4 linked regions of the Drosophila melanogaster genome follow. The protein of the gene in region 4 interacts with the protein of the main gene of each other region in a pairwise test. Each region holds a gene or a part of one and is shown on either strand. Other genes may lie near its edges.

Region 1 (3,820 bases), on a different chromosome or scaffold from region 4:
CCGAACAGCACAGTCGGTTTTATGGCTTTAAGGGTATATTAATCATCACTCTTGAACAGTTGCTACTCATTTATACGTGTCTGAACTGAATTACAATGAATACCAATTATAAAATGCACAGGAATTAAGGATATTATTTTTAGAAGCTATAGGTGGCATGCCATTTATTAGTAGCGTTAGCTGAGTATTTGATAAGTTTATTCACTAGTTTTACTTTAACAGAGGGACTTGTTTTTAACCTTTAACAAAACCTAACAAAAGCTCATTCTGTAAGTATATAAAAGTAGTCACCGCTGATAAAATATATATTTTTTTTATTTAAGTCTATATAATCTAAGTTTCAGACGATGCTTGCTCTTCGCGCTTAGCGCTAGCAAAGCTTCGAGATTATAATCTCAGCCGCTTATAATCTGCGTAAGACCGCCATCATCGTAGCCACCTCCACCGCCGCCTCCGTAGCCTCCTCCACCTCCTCCTCCGCCGTTACCATAGCCGGGTCCAAAGTTGCCCGAATATACTGGACGACGGCCACCTCCTCCACCTCCGCCGCCGTTGTAGTATCCTCCACCGCCTCCGCCTGCGTTGTATCCACCTCCTCCTCCTCGTCCTCCGTTGCCACCTGTGTAGACTCCAGGTCCTTGGCCTCCGGGTGGATTACCTAATAGTGATATTTAAATCAGTTTCTTGAGGAGTAGTAGTTACTTAATTGCGCGCTAGCTACTGCATTTTTTACGCAAGCCAGCAAATGTACTATGCGCTATAGAAATTAAAAGCTTAAAGCTAAGTGTTCGGAATTATATTATTCATAAACTTAACCAATAACAAATGTTTAGAGTATCGTTAATAATCACTTAATGACTTTCGTTGCCAAGAAATACCATAATATAATAACAAATTGATTGTTCATTCAAACTTTCGCTAATGAAAACACAAAATTTCCTTTTAAACTATGCCTGATGTGGCAGCGACGAAAATCGTTGAACAATTTTTGAATAAATGGCCCAAATTAATAGGCATTGACTTACAGTCGTAGCAACCGCCACCGATGTAAACAGCCGCCTCCGTTAGAGCCAGTGCAAAAAAAGCGATAATCGCAAATGCCGTCAAGGTTCTCATTGTGGCTGGTCTATTAGAACGTCGAACTGGTCTGGACCAGGTACGAACCGCAACAGCAGCTTATATACGATGCACTCATCGATTCCGATTCCGATACTGAATTTGAATTCGAATTCAAACCCAAACAGACCTTATCGCTGCAAAGAACTATTGCTGTGCAAACAAACCACTACGTATGTATTAAGTATTAATCTCAGGGAATTGCCCGCGGATGGGTTTCAAAAACAATCTGTAGCGCATCAGTTGGTCAGTCGTATTGCATTCAAGATACTCTACGTTACCTTTTTAACATAACAAATACACAAAATCTGTAAAATCTATAATAAGTCAGACACTTTTCATTTCTACAAAGTTGCAAAGATTTATTTTTAATGAAATGTATTTGTTTTCAAATATATTTTTTGCTTTTTCATTGTATTAAGTATCTTATTATTTAAATATAAATTGTTAGCTTTAGAACTAAAGCTTCTACATTTCACTCACGAGTCACGACTTTCGGTTCTGTAACCAGTTTTCCTTAGATGTATGGATAAAATTTAATGGTGTGCGATTCTCTGGAATCGCTTGCCATTCATGTTTACGTCTGGGAATAATTGTAAACCGACTTTTCGGGGCGTGACTGTCATAAGTTTCTTTGAAGAAGTTCAAGGAAATCAACTACGTCGACCTGATGCCACAAAACCGTGTGCGGAAAACCCCATCGAATTGCGATTTGATAGTGTTCTAGTGTGAAATTAATTTAAATATATTGTTCAAATACAAATCGAAAGCTCCAAACGCTTAGGCTTATGCAAATCGATTTTGATTCGGATCGAATCAAGTGCCGGACTATATAAGTAGCGTGAGAGTCGATACGGTCATCTATCTATCGGCTTTAATATGAAGTACCTGACGTGTGTGCTGCTCCCGTTGGCTTTAATTCCGACTCTGATCGGCGGTAAGCTGGACGGGATTGCTGCTGACGCTAATTGATACACACTGAAATTATTTCCAGCTCATCCCAGCACAGTGGTGGTGAATGGCGTCTGTCTGACTTGTAAGTTGCGATTGTTTTGCCAGCTAGGCAATTGGACAACTTAATGAATAATAATATGCACTCGAAAAGGTCCCAATCCGAATGGTGAACCCGTCTACCTGGATGGCCAGCAGTACCGCAGCTTCTCCTCATCCCCTGGCGATGGTAATGTGGTCATTTCCCGTGGAAATGACGGTAGTGGCGGTGGAGGTGGCACCATTTACCGGAGGGGTGGTAATACCATCGTCAATGGCAGATGTCAGCACTGCAACGTGGATCCCTATTAAAGGCTTAAACAATAAAGTCTGAATATTGAATTAAAATTGCGCACATATCGATCAATCCATTTCATACTTACACTTGGCTATGTACAACATCATTTAGCTAAAAGCATTGACAATCGTTCAACCCAGTCTCTCTGCAAATTCGATGAATGTGATGGTTTCGAGTGCAGAGGGCATCATCTGATGGAGGCAAAAAATGGAAAAATGAGCGTTTTATATTCAGTTTTTGTTACCACGAAGTACACGTGGAGAAACATGAAACATCCGAGTTATTTTATGCTGCGAAAAAAGCGTGAAGAATGTTATAATTGCTTTTGGTCGAAATATTCAGTCCTGAAAATCAAATTTTTCACATTTAAAATAAGAATTTTTTTTAACGATTTCCAGTACCTCATTGCGTGCACTGCGAGCTGTCTGTTTGTGAACATTGGCTTCTCTCATCCTTCTCAAAAATAAGTGATACAAAAGCGTTACATTTTCAAAAGCCTTGGTTTCAAAACAGTCTGCAAATAAGGGAAGACCCACGGATTTTGTGACGGAAAAATAGAGAAATTCGTGCTGCCAATGGCATCGATTGTTTGAACTTCAGCTAGTTGCCACATAAACTGGGCTGGGAGCTGACGTCGCTGTCTCCAGAGTATTGCACAGCATCGATAATCAAATGCGAGTAACCAACCGTGCAATTTACGCCAGTGGATGTGTTGTCAATGAAAACGCTGGCCTGATGTAAGGGTGCTTAAGGTTGCGCGTGCCACGTGGCGTATACGTAATGCTACTGCAGGAACGGCAAACAGAAGCCTCTCAAATATTTGCTTTGAAACTAACTACTCGACAAACAGTAAACACTTAGTGCATACACACACACACACACACACACACACTTCCCAAGAATATTTTGTGCAGAAGTTTCGAATAAAACTGATGCTGTGTTTTTATATACAGAATAAGAAGGGAAAAGTTTCATTCAGGCTTAGCATGCGAAAACAATTAAAATTGTAAAAGGATTACTTAACAATCATACAATTTTGATTTAAGCGTATAACTTAAGAGAATAGTATTGATTCCCGGACATCCAAGAATAAAAACCTAAGCTTTATTTGCAATTAAAAAAAAATACAATGCATTGAAATCAATGGACTGCCCTTGCGGATGTGCTAAATTCAGAAAAACGCTCGACTGGCTTAAAATTCAATGAACATTTGGGTGGCATAACCATACCAATCGTAAAGGGTTTCGATACACTTTCTCTGATTTACTTTTAATACACTTTATTGGCAGAAATGTGTCGTTTCCTATCTTTTTGGGTCACAAATTGTTTACACGCAACTTTAGAAGCCCCATGAAGCTGAGGAACTCAGTCCTAGTCCAGAACAGGGTGGTTTATCTGCCTAGCAACTTAAGGACC
Region 2 (4,823 bases), on a different chromosome or scaffold from region 4:
GCGTGGGCGTGGCAGGACTGCTCCTTCTGATCCTGCTGCTCCTTCTGCTGCTGTTGCTGCTCCTGGTGCTGCTGGTACTGCTGGTGCTTTTCCGACTTTTCCTGTTGCTGCTGACAAAAGCGATGCGATAGTGACGACGGCGAAAGTGACGGCGACGACGGCTGCATTTTCATCCATTGGTCAGGTAGCGGCTCCCTTATCCGGACATTTGCTTGTCGGGATCGGTGTTTTTCCTCGCTTTGAACTTTATTTATCCTTACTAGTTTCTATATACATATTGGCTATGTATCATATTTGCTTTGATTCATATTCATGCATCTTTGGTTTGGTTAAGCGTTTTCGTTTATAACTTTCTTTTGGTGGTGAGTTTTTAACTGTTAATTATTTACAATTTCTGGCGCTGCACTAAACAAAATAAATTTGATAATTGCTTGTTAGAATTTATGTGTGCCATTTGAAATAAATAAATTCCAATTGAATTTTGTATATAGCACTGCACACACAGTCGCGGACACACACGTAGGCACACTTCACTCGGCGGGCGGTCTTCACTTTACTACTACCGAAAACGAACAGTCGCAGCAGCAGCAGCAGCTCGGAAAATGTTTTTCTTCGACTTCGCTCGTTCCTTTGCTTTTCCACTTTCCGCTTTTCTGCGCTGATACGTGGGCGCCGCACACCCCAAAAGAAAAAAACAGCAGAGCCAAAAAATGAAAGGAAAACGTTTCCCGATAATAAAATCCACAAGAGCGGGAGTTTCCACAGGGAAATGCGAGAGAGAGAGAGAGAAAGCTAGAAAGAGAGCGAGAAATGGGGCTGCGCGAGAGAGAAGGCACGCGTCATGCGTGGTGAGTTGGGTAAAAAAGTTCCCAGTATTCTTGGAGCATCATAAAAAAGTAGTAGACATCAATATAATAATAGAAGTGGCAAAAATATGATATCAACAGCGTGTACCGCAGGGAAAAGGAGAAAGGGAACCATAGGGAAAAGGAGAAAGAGAGAGTGGCACAGAAAGCGAGAGAGGGAGCTAGAGCAAACTGCATTGCTTCAATTTCTCCCACCCAAAGCGATTCTATCAATTTCCATAGCTGCGGCGCCCTCAAGTATGCAACATGTTCTGCGACGAACCAATTACCACCGCCACCCACTTTCCCAGCACCACCCCCTCCCAGCCAAAGGCCGCCCACCGCCAGCGGGTATGGCCAAGGACAATCCAGTCAAATATTATATCATACAGGTCCTAATAATAGACGGAAACAAAGGTAACGACACTTGAAGTTTTCAACTTGATGACAATAAACGATAGCTAACGGAAGGCGCACAAATCCGCATTGTGTGTATACGCAAAGTTAAGGTCGGCATAATGGCCCTCAAGCACAAGGATCTTGGTCCTTATTTAGTGTATATGACATGTTTTTAGCATTGATTTTACATCGAATTATGTCCTAAGCTCATAATTCTATAACTATCTATTGTGACAACAAGATATGAGTTTCCTATTGTTTAAAACCCTCAAATTTTAGTTCGATATTCGATCCTATCGAATATTGATATTAACGCATCGTTTGTGTGCGCAGAAAAGCACCTACACGAAATTATAGTAGTTATGATGACTTAAAGCAGATTATAGATGGAATCAAGGAATATCTATAAAACTGGAATCCACATACGCAGTTACTTTCTATAAAAAAAAGTTGTTAACCCTTGAAGTAGAAGTACTGCGAACTTGAGAAATGAGTTGTGAACTTGGACTTGACGGTACTATTATTTGCACCGCAACTGTGAGTTTGGAGCCAGCCTGACGACGTGGAATGTCCAGGACCCGTTTCCCGTGTCCATATATCCTGGCCACCAGGCGATGTCCTGGCGACATGCGCACTCCGGAACCCACCACACTCGCTCGCGCGAACTCAACTCCACCACGACGGAGCGTTTCAAAGAAAGTGGCCAAGTTTAAGGATAAATCACAACGAGCAATATTTTTGCAACAAATGCGTTGAACGGGCGGCAATTTGGGGGTTGGGTGATGAAAACTTTGCGGCTTTGCTTTTCTTAGGGAAATTATTGTTTTGTTTTGGGCTGGGAGAGGCGCAGAAGCAGAAAAAACGGAAAATTATGGATGCTAATGGGGGGCCCAAAAAAGCGAGATATATAGATTTCAGAGGCTGTGTATACACACACACTCTACAACTGTAGACAAAGCAGCCGTACTTCGTACCCGTAGTGGCGCCCACCCAGCCCACTGACGCCCCCACCCCTTTCCCCCTCTGGACTTGCCACCCACTTTTCCCACCCAATGCTGCGCGCTTCGCTCTTTTCGGGCCGCATGAGCAAATCGCAATAGATAGAGAATTTTTTTCTTTCTTTCTTTTGCTGGCGCGGCTTGATTCCTTGCCACCACATCTATATGTATGTATATATATATATGTCTGATTGGTATATATATGCGAATATATATGTATCTGGACGGAGTGCGTGTGGCCTTGTCTTTTTCCATTTTCATTGCTAATCACACGAAGGAGTTAATTTGTTAAAACTTTGGCTTCGGATGGGAAAGTGGGGCCTGGAAAACTCTTGGTACTTGGCACATATGACAACGTAATTTTCACGCGCACACACACACTCGCGATTTTGGAGAGAGAAATTTTATGTACCATACATTTTTGAAGCTGCAAAATTTTGCACATTCGATTTTCACACTGCCACTAATGCTGCCTGCTACTGCTGCTGCTGGCGCTGCTGCTTTTTCCTTCGTTTTTCTTTTCTAGCCGCACTTTCGAATTTTTTTTCCTTCACCGGATGGAAAATTTTCACACGCACAGCAATCGAGTTAAAGCGAGTTTTTCGCAAGTTTTCATCGCGATTTCCCCCGAGTTTTCCACGCGTTTTATGCACTTTTTCGCTGCGAGTGTGTGAGAATTTTCCTGTGTGCTGGCTGTGTGAAAATGGAAATCCAGTGAAAATCCGCAACCGTTACGTACGGAAGAGCACACCTAGCTGCTGTGTGTGCTCCGCTGAAGACGATGGTGCGCTCTGCGGACGGGTCTGCAACTTTCTCGCGGCGCAGCGCCTTTATCGCTGCCTTCGCCGCTGCTCCGCCTGGCGCTCTCGCTGCGTCCCGCTCGCACACGCCGTGGGGCCAATCGCGCCCTCTCGCTCGACGCTGAGTGTGTTGAGTTCGCCGAATTCCTGTGTGCGTGCGTGCCCAACAACAAACAGGGGGAAATGTTGGGGAGCTCCCGTTAGGGAGAGAGCCAGGTCGCTCTCTATCTCTCTCGTTCGCAGTCAGGATGCTCTCTGGCGACCCCCCCTCCCCAAATAAAAATGAAATCAACAATTTGTTGGTCGGCGAGCTGCCAACTTGGCCCCAAAATAAATGTGGCCAAGCTAAGAGAGGAAATTGGCCCAAAGAACGACCATTATTTTAAATTAAGGCTTAATTGAAGGTTAGAAATGTAGGTTTTTTGAAAAAAATGAGTTTTACATTCAATATTAAAATCAGTAAGAAAATGCATTTTCTTATATTTTATAATTTAAGTTAGTAAAATCTCATAAAAACGAACTTTTCAAAAACCATTGCCTACTTTCTTGTGCTTATTCCGCGTCATAACCATGACGTACTATTGTCCCAACAGAAAAGAGTAGTACTGAAATATAAAAACTCTCACGCTCGATACCATCTTTATTTGCAGCAAAGAATGCATAAAGTAAACAGAGTTTTGATTGGTTACTTTGGATACAGCAATTTTTATATATTTATAGGGCTTTTAACTTACAACTATAGAGTTGAGCACACCGTCGATTAATCGCATCGCTTTACTTTGCTTATCATTAAGTTAATCTTTACAAATATGAACGTGTGTGAGCAACCGATATTGATGCTTTTTTGTGAAATTAAATGTATTGCAAATTGCATTTGCCAAGCGAAATTAGGAATAGGTTTAACAGCACTTCTATACACAATGTTTTTTATGCTGACACAGGGTGGTTAAATTACAATAGAACCGGTATACTTTTGGGTTACGTTAAATACACATACAATTAAGGCGACTTTAAATGGGTTCAATATAGATAATGCCTTTCTGGCGTTACTTTTGCATAGAGCCAACTTAGCCCAGGCCGTGATCGTCGAAGAAACTCTGCGGGGTCTCATCCTGGAAAGGGAGAATGCTTAGCTTCAGTTACATGTTACTATACTTTACAGCGCTTGGGGTAAAAGGAAACCAAATAAAAGTATCGATACTGGGGGCTAACTATGAAAAAGACTATGAAAAAGGGTGGTATATAGTAGCAACTAAAAACGAAAGGACACCAAACGGGTGCGCTAAGCCAGACATATAGGTAGATAGACAGTTTAGAGGGAGTGGAGCTCAGAGATCAGATCAGTGGAGGTGGAACAATGTGGGCGTCAAGAGTTTAGAGCAGTCAAATTGGTCAGTCACAACAACAGCAAAGACAACAATCAAAACTAAACGTTTAACAAAGACACTAAAAAGAAAACTGAGGTTCACCAGGTCTTACCATTTTCATATAGCATACGAGTACAATTAGGATTTTTTTTTCAAAAATACTTGGTTTTTATTTTAACTTGTTTTTCTCAGTTACAAAACACAGAAAATTTGGCTAAAACGTACAACACACATACATAAACATATATATATATATATATACTTGTAGATATAGATAAACTAGATTTTTTTATTCGGTTATTATTACAATTTTCAATTATATATCGTTCTCATTTAATCAACATTAAAGCTTACATGTTTCTATTGTAAGAATAGTATTGCATATATTTCCCCACTAAATTAGTTATTGCCCAT
Region 3 (2,517 bases), on a different chromosome or scaffold from region 4:
GCACCGGAGAGCCTATCCCAGGAGGGTCACGACTTCATCGATCATTGTCTGCAGCACGATCCCAAGAGGCGTTTAACGGCAGTGGAACTGTTGGAGCACAATTTCTGCAAGGTGCGTATGCCTGTGGTTAGCTCGCTGCCAAATGTTGCTAATTGATTTTCGTTTCCATGTGCAGTACGGTCGAGACGAGTGCAGCAGTGAGCAGTTGCAGATGCAGGTGCGAGGCTCTTTCCGGCGAAATGTGGCGACCAGCAGCAGCTAGGTGCAACGTGGTGTCTACTTAACTAGCTTGCGGTTTTTTTTAGGCGCACCCCTACATATGATGCATATGTACATCGGTGTGGATTTTGTTTAGTGTCTAATTTATGTGAATGTCGATTATTTGAATGCCCTCGTCTGGTTTTATGTTGGACAATATATAACCCGTATAAAATAATCAAATGCCTTTCCGTACCGTAACCCCCACAATTCATTCGATGCAAGTGAAAATTACACGTATTTTAATATATTTGCGATTCAGTTTTTAATTCATCAATCGATGATGACTATCCGTAAATGGGATAGATGGTCGACGTTTCTGGCGTGGCATTTGTGGTCTCAGCCTGCGGCGGACCAGAGAATCCCGTGCTAGTCGTACCATCGACGGGAGCACCAGTTGGCGGAGTTGGCTCCGGGGTGGCAAGACTGGAGAAAGCCGACACCCACGAGGTGCACAGCATGAAGGCCAGACAGAGGCTAAACAGCAGGTTGAAGACTGCAACGAATTGAGCCGGTTACTCGAATGGTCCACGGATTGCGTTGGCGGTTACTCCTTGTACGGTACTTACATTTCATGTTGACGGCGTTTTAGAGACTGTTGAAGTGCCCAGAACGGCCAGGGCCTTTTATGGAGAACCACTTGGCCATGGGTATCCATTGGTATTTTATTTAATTAATTTATTAAAACACTATTTATCTGGCATTGGCTTATCATTATTTATTTATTTATTTGTTATCGTATTTACCACTTGGATATTAAGAAGTGCGCAGCTCGGATTTTCATGACTGTTTCAAGCGGAAGACGACTTATCTATTCTTAGAAGTCACTGAAAAATACGTGGCCAATTTGACCGTGCGCCTTATCCAAATCCATATACGTATGGAGTATTTTCATTCACCAGCAGATCAATTGTAGGTCAGGAATGATGGTGGTCTTGGTTTGTAATGCATTTATTTCAATTTATTCGGTTCGTGATTATTTATGCATACATTAATTGCGGCTCTTGGCCATATGGAAACGAGTCAAACTTAACGACAGTACAGAACAGTATGGTAACGTAATGATTGATACACAGATCGAATAATACAGGTAAGATAGATAGTTAGTTGGATAGTACGTAGTGATAGTTCGGTTAACAGTTTAGAAGATAATCATACATATAGTACATATATAGCAACAATGAACACAGCAACTAGTTTGATATAAGTATCTGGTTGTCCTTTAACGTTTCTCATATATTTTCCATTGTAAATAACATACGTATAGTATTTATGTATATAATATATTCTTTGCAGATTATTGACAGCTTTGGTGGATCGCCATCGAAACATCTTTTTTTTTTGCTAACGGCTCGAACAGACAAACAAACACACATAGGTTATATATGTATCTATATCATTCTAAATCGTCCTGCGCCGTGGGGCATCATTTGCCTTCCTGGGATGTATATAAATTTATTGATATGTATTGTTACGTCTCAAGTCTATACGCGTATTCTATATATTCCTCTACATTCATTTCATTATTCATTTACGGGTTGTACATACATATATTATTATATATATATATATATATATATATTCATCCAAAAAGCCTTTAGTTACGGTATACCATTTGCTCTCTAAAACACGAATATATATGGAAATATATTAACAGACATTATATAATTCTTTTTTTGTAATAAGTCCTCAAACAAACAACGAAATTGCAGTAACAAGCGCAGATAGTACTTTTAGTATATGCTTTAGCTAGTATCTTTTGTAACAACTATAGAACGTATTGTATTTGAAACACAACTTTCGTAACGAAAAGTATTGCATACTTGTGGGCTTGCTTGCCATAATTCGCTGACAGTAGGGGTATAAACAAGTTCGTAAGCTCTGCTAAGTTAGTTAGTGATTGGTATAACACTCATATTTAATATAGCACAATTAACACACTTAGATAACAGCACTAACAATTTGCGCATAAAACGGCTCTAAAACATTTAATTGACTAGAGTTGCTCTAATTCAAACTACGAGGATACTTTGGTAACGGATATGTAAAGCGAATGGGTTGCGTATAGTTTTCTTATTTCTTTTTTTTTGTGTTTTTTTTTTTGTCTCAACTTGATAGTGATTGACATCAGTTTTCGATTCCGATTTCGTTATCGTTATCCATCTTATTCCTCAGATGCCCACCCCTCGTTGGGTGGCTCGCTTGGTGGTGCTTGGTCACAAATGAAACGCCCGTGTGTGGTCGCTAGTTACACTTACT
Region 4 (4,908 bases):
GTTTTACGAGTTATCGTATATTTGTATTTATTATATTTTTAATACTTTCAGGTGACTCAAAAAATTTTACTTCCCTTACGGATAGGGTATCCCGGATGCCTCTGCATTAAATCTATAACTTTGCGGCAACACTGAAGCGGCAACATTTGAATGACCAAAAGCGCGCAATGCGTGGAATTTGCATTCAAATTGGGGCCCGTTCACTTGGGAGGCCGGCGCCTTGAACAAAGTGGAAATACCGCAGAAATGCAAACGACAGGCTAATAAGCTCAAGCGGACAGTTTGGAATGCCTGGCCGGACTGCATATGGTAAACAATTGGCCAAGATCAGCTCCAGTTGGCCGGAATTATGCACCCAGGTCGTCGATCGCGCCGATACCCGATTCCCGATCGCTGTTGACAGCTTTTTTAAATGCCGGCAAATTGAGCAACAGGTAAAATCTCCAGCCCGCGGAGGTGAATCAACTTAATTGCTGGCGGAATTGTGTCAGCAGATCGTGCGTATGCGATTTGTGAAGCAGCGGCGCCCTCCAAAACAATGCCCTTCAATGGAAACTCCGCGGGGCAGGTCCAACCTGAATGCTCTTCGCCATTCAATGGATAACCGTTTAGCTGGGAAATATTTCTTTCGAATTTTTGACGATTAATTTACATTGTTGAGTTTATCCAGATGATGACAAACTAAATACACTCCATATAAACAGAACTATTTTTTATCATGTGTAAAATAATAATTTTGTGTAGTTTTTTTTTTAAGGTATTGTTAGCAAAATGTAAGTAAGCACGTAGTAAAACAAAGAAAATGTATAATTATCTAGTTATATAATTACATATAATTTCTTATCTGGATGAAACCAAGAATGAATGGCAAGATACATATATAAATTTATTTATTTCAATACAAAAGTATTGTACTGAATTAAGCCAAAGGGAAATAAATCGCAATAAATTCAAATTCCCTCGCAATTAAAAGCTTTTACTACAAATTCGCATTCCTCTAATCAATTTGTACTTAGATAATAGCCGAAGCAAACCTAAAAATAACGCTGCCAATAAGAGGCGTTGGCGAAACCAGTTTGCAAAACAAAAATCCAATTGGATAAGTCCGGGCCCCAAAATAAAGATAAAGCCCCCACCTGCGTCAATGTGACAGTTAACGAGGCGATATATGCAGGCGGAATGAGAGTCTATGCGAACGTATCTCCCAATTGGACGGAGAGTCACGGCTCCACCTCCAATTGGATTAAGTAGGCACACACACAAGGGGGCGATAATCATAAATTTAAATAAAGCGAGGGAGCATGCAAGTGAGAGAGGGACAGCGAGCAACCAGATTTGAATATTGCAAGAGTGTGTGTGAAAATTAGCGAGCGCGATTAGTTGTCTCTTTTTCCCCAACGGGTCAGCTTTTTGTGGAACCTAAGTGAGCGATCGCTGCTTTTTGCAGTAGTAGTGGTGAGTGGAGAGCGCGCAGAGAGAGCAAGAGCGAGAGTTTTTCAGAGACAAGAGAATTTTAGCTCTCAAACTAAACTTAATTGTTTTTTTTTACACTAAAATGAATTAATGTTTAAACATAACTCATTGCGGTTTTGAGAGAGCTTAAGCGCTCTCTTTTATCCCTCTCCTGCAATTGCAATGTTGCAAGCAGGTGTGCATCTGTGTGTGCAAGTACCTGCAGCAGATACGAGCAACTAAAGTCACGCACACTTACAGCAAAACCCGAACACAGAGACACTTCACATTGCAATTGTTTCAGTGCACTGCCGTTTGTTTATTTGCCTTTTGTTTATATGGATTTGGCAAAAAAAAACTTGTTGCAGCCCGCTGCCGTTAAAGTTGCCGATCTGTTGCGCATCTTTAAGATACTTTTGGCGAGCTCGCCTCAGTTGAGTTCAGCGTTCAGTGGTTGTAGCTCAAGTGCGCGCGCTCCCCGGACTTTGGCAACACATTTTGTCCTCCGCGATATCCCATGCGCTACTCGACCGATACAATACGATCCCGAATGAACCCCTCTAATAAAAATCCCCATTCTCATCGCTCTCGCGTCGCGATTTTTCCGATCTCTTTTTGTGCCGCAGTTTTTTGCGTTTTGACGACGGCATTTGTGCGAATCGAAACGTGCTGCGAATGAGACGCAAATTTCGCTCATAGTAACATCATAATTTATTGAAAAACTATACGCTTATAGTTTTTAAAGAGTGCCCCATATTGTGCAGATAAAGTACAGTGATAACTAATAACTTATTCACTTGAACGAAATGAATTTGATATTTAAAGATTGAAATGTTTGTCTGAAAAACTCAACAATTGAGGTAAATCCCATGAGTATTAAATTAAGCTATGAAAAATATAAAAGAATTCATAGAAATTTTATTGACACATATCTAGAAAGGTTGATTATTTGTGTACAAGTTGTTATACATGAAAATAAAATAACAATATACATGTGCAGAAAATAAATTTAAAGTTGTAGTTACCACAAAAATAAATTTTTTAATGATTGAAAACCAAGACCAAGGGTCTGAAGCTTCTTGAAAAATTTTAGAATTGCTTACAGTCATCTTTTTGGTATATAAATATTTAAATACCTTGGTAACCAACAAATTTAGGAAAGAAATACAATTGTATAAATGTTTTATTTATAAAAGAAAATAATAATGGGTCATTTAATAAATAACTTCACTGATTTTCTAATTACGAAAATGACTTACCTTTTTTGACTAAAAGATTGAACAATTTTACAACAAGTGACATCCGAAATTTTTGTTGATAAGAGTTCCCCAGGCCACCTGGACCCTAATCATGATTCATTCAATTAATCAAAGCCGTGTAGAATTTCACAATCCTAATCTGCAATCTCTAACAAGCTTTAATAAATGAAACATTTTTGAATTTATGTTGCCTAGCGTTTTTAAAGGGTTTTACCCCACCCCGCAGCAGTAAATAGTGTTTGACAATCTATAAAACGGGCTTTTCACCACTTAATTTACTGAAAATTACTGAAAGTAAAGGAAATGTATACCATATAAGAGGGGGGATATTGTATAAACCATTTTTAAGTAAGGCGCCTTGAGTTTCAGACCGGAGGTAAACAGAACCTGCATCAAAGTTTACTCTACAAAAGTTGAAGTGGGATACCTGTAACTCCAGTATCTTTCGCAATGTCGCCGGGGGTGAACGGTGAGGCGAGAAATAATATTGAAATTGAAATAAATAAATACGGCAAACAAAGTGCGAGAAAAATCGATCGATTTACACTTTAAATATCGTACCAACCCACCGTTCGATTTGTTTAATGTGTATATCTATATCAATACACAAGCGTATATTATGTTGCCTTATTGATAAGGCGATCGGCACGATATGTTTTATTAGCATAACACTTGTGGTGTGCCGCAGTTTTGAGTTCAAGTGCCTCTGGACAAGTTGGAACTGCATTTCCTTTTGGTTGGACACTCGTTCTTTATTTTTTTCTTATTCAAATGCCGTTATCTGGGTGGCGTATATAGATACAGCCGTACAGATACCATTACCATTTGCTGTAACGATCGAGTGATTGATTATTTTTACAGTACAATAATAAATATTTGTCCAGCGTTTGTCGCGTTGCCTGCTTAGCCTAATTAGATAAAAATGGAATGGAAAAACTTAACCTGCTTCTTTCTTCTCCTTCTCGTTCTTGGCGTAGCATTATCTCGACTGCGTTTTCCCATTTACCATATTCGGTGCTCCTCCAGCCGAACTGAACTGATTAAGCCCGACCGGGCCAAGAAGACCAAGACGAGTTGGTTCTTATTGGAGTATCTATATCTATGCGTAGACCCGTGTCGACAATTGCGTCGAAGCTGTTGTTTAAAAAGAGAAATGAGTTCAATTTGTTTGCTCTGGCCTGATAAGACAACTCCGTTCGCAGGTTGGTTGGGTGGTGAGGTGAGGAGAGTTGAGATAGAGTCAAGAGCCAAGAACCAGTGCCATGCCACACACTTCATACCCCAGCACTTTGCATATCAACAATGAAATTGTTCATGTTCAACAATGAAATTTCGGCCAAGCCCCAAAAAAACTAATCAATTGAATGGGTATCGATTTGATAGCAGGATCCTCAAAGGTGACAGGTGCTCTGAAAATGTCTTTTTTTTTACTCTTTAAAGTTACTTACTTTTAAAGGTGATTAGGATTTGAGTTTTTCATTACGTTAGGAGCATATTACTCCCATTCCGAAAATAGATTTATAGTCACCCGCTTTAAATAATTTGTAAAATGAGGTCATATATCAGTGAATTAGATTCTTATCAAGCTAATCATTTCCGTATATCATTTAAATATGAATCACTTGAGACTTGGCGACCAAAAGAATCAGCGGATGGTTGATAAGAATTATTGATTTCTTTGCGGTTGATAAGCCAAATTCGTTAAAAGGGTCCTTTCCCCCACTACTATCTTCTTCGTGCGGAAATTCGATTGGCGCGATACAATAAAATATAATTTGCAAAATTAACAAATAAGTTGAAGGCTCGTGATTAAAGTTTATTAAATTCAATTCTTGGAACTCGTAATTCTTTCACCGGGGGTAAACAATAGAATCTTGAAATATGGGCTGATGTTTAGTCCGCGCAAAGTTCATTGGGGGGCTTGTTTCGCTTAACACGTTTCACATTTCGCAATCTTGGAAATCGGTTTGCACCGGTTTTTCACTTTTTTGTTTCGATGGTTTGCGTTAGGTAAGGTCCGGTGCGATACAACTTGCCTCAAGTGGCGTTAAGTTAAGGGCTGCGTACCTGATATTTGGCACATTAGCAAGTGTCTTCTTAAGTATATGTTTATTAACTCTAAAAAAGTCATGACATTTATTCCATTATTATTATCATTATAAATACGAAATTTATTGCACATATGTAGAAACTAAAA

What was found.
Region 1: the proteins of nub (region 4) and BomBc3 interact in a two-hybrid assay, tested with the Drosophila melanogaster proteins (one large-scale study listed by BioGRID).
Region 2: the proteins of nub (region 4) and CG31140 interact in a two-hybrid assay, tested with the Drosophila melanogaster proteins (one large-scale study listed by BioGRID).
Region 3: the proteins of nub (region 4) and CG14302 interact in a two-hybrid assay, tested with the Drosophila melanogaster proteins (one large-scale study listed by BioGRID).

Annotation. Positions count from the first base shown.
Region 1 is NT_033777.3:22,085,208-22,089,027, forward strand, and holds BomBc3 (bomanin bicipital 3), read left to right. Parts: upstream 1-1,975; 5' UTR 1,976-1,995; coding exon 1,996-2,053; intron 2,054-2,110; coding exon 2,111-2,152; intron 2,153-2,221; coding exon 2,222-2,418; 3' UTR 2,419-3,294; downstream 3,295-3,820. Other genes in the region: BomT3 (bomanin tailed 3), read right to left, coding at 396-658, 1,026-1,116.
Region 2 is NT_033777.3:23,961,382-23,966,204, reverse strand, and holds the start of CG31140 (uncharacterized protein), read right to left. Parts: upstream 3,026-4,823; 5' UTR 2,982-3,025; exon of another isoform or gene 2,972-2,981; intron 406-2,971; exon of another isoform or gene 401-405; 5' UTR 1-400.
Region 3 is NT_033777.3:18,731,023-18,733,539, reverse strand, and holds CG14302 (uncharacterized protein), read right to left. Parts: upstream 860-2,517; 5' UTR 835-859; coding exon 828-834; intron 755-827; coding exon 546-754; 3' UTR 506-545; downstream 1-505. Other genes in the region: Mekk1, read left to right, coding at 1-111, 176-262.
Region 4 is NT_033779.5:12,585,741-12,590,648, forward strand, and holds the start of nub (nubbin), read left to right. Parts: upstream 1-1,884; 5' UTR 1,885-2,312; intron 2,313-4,908. UniProt on the Drosophila melanogaster protein: DNA-binding regulatory protein implicated in early development. Involved in neuronal cell fate decision. Repressed directly or indirectly by the BX-C homeotic proteins.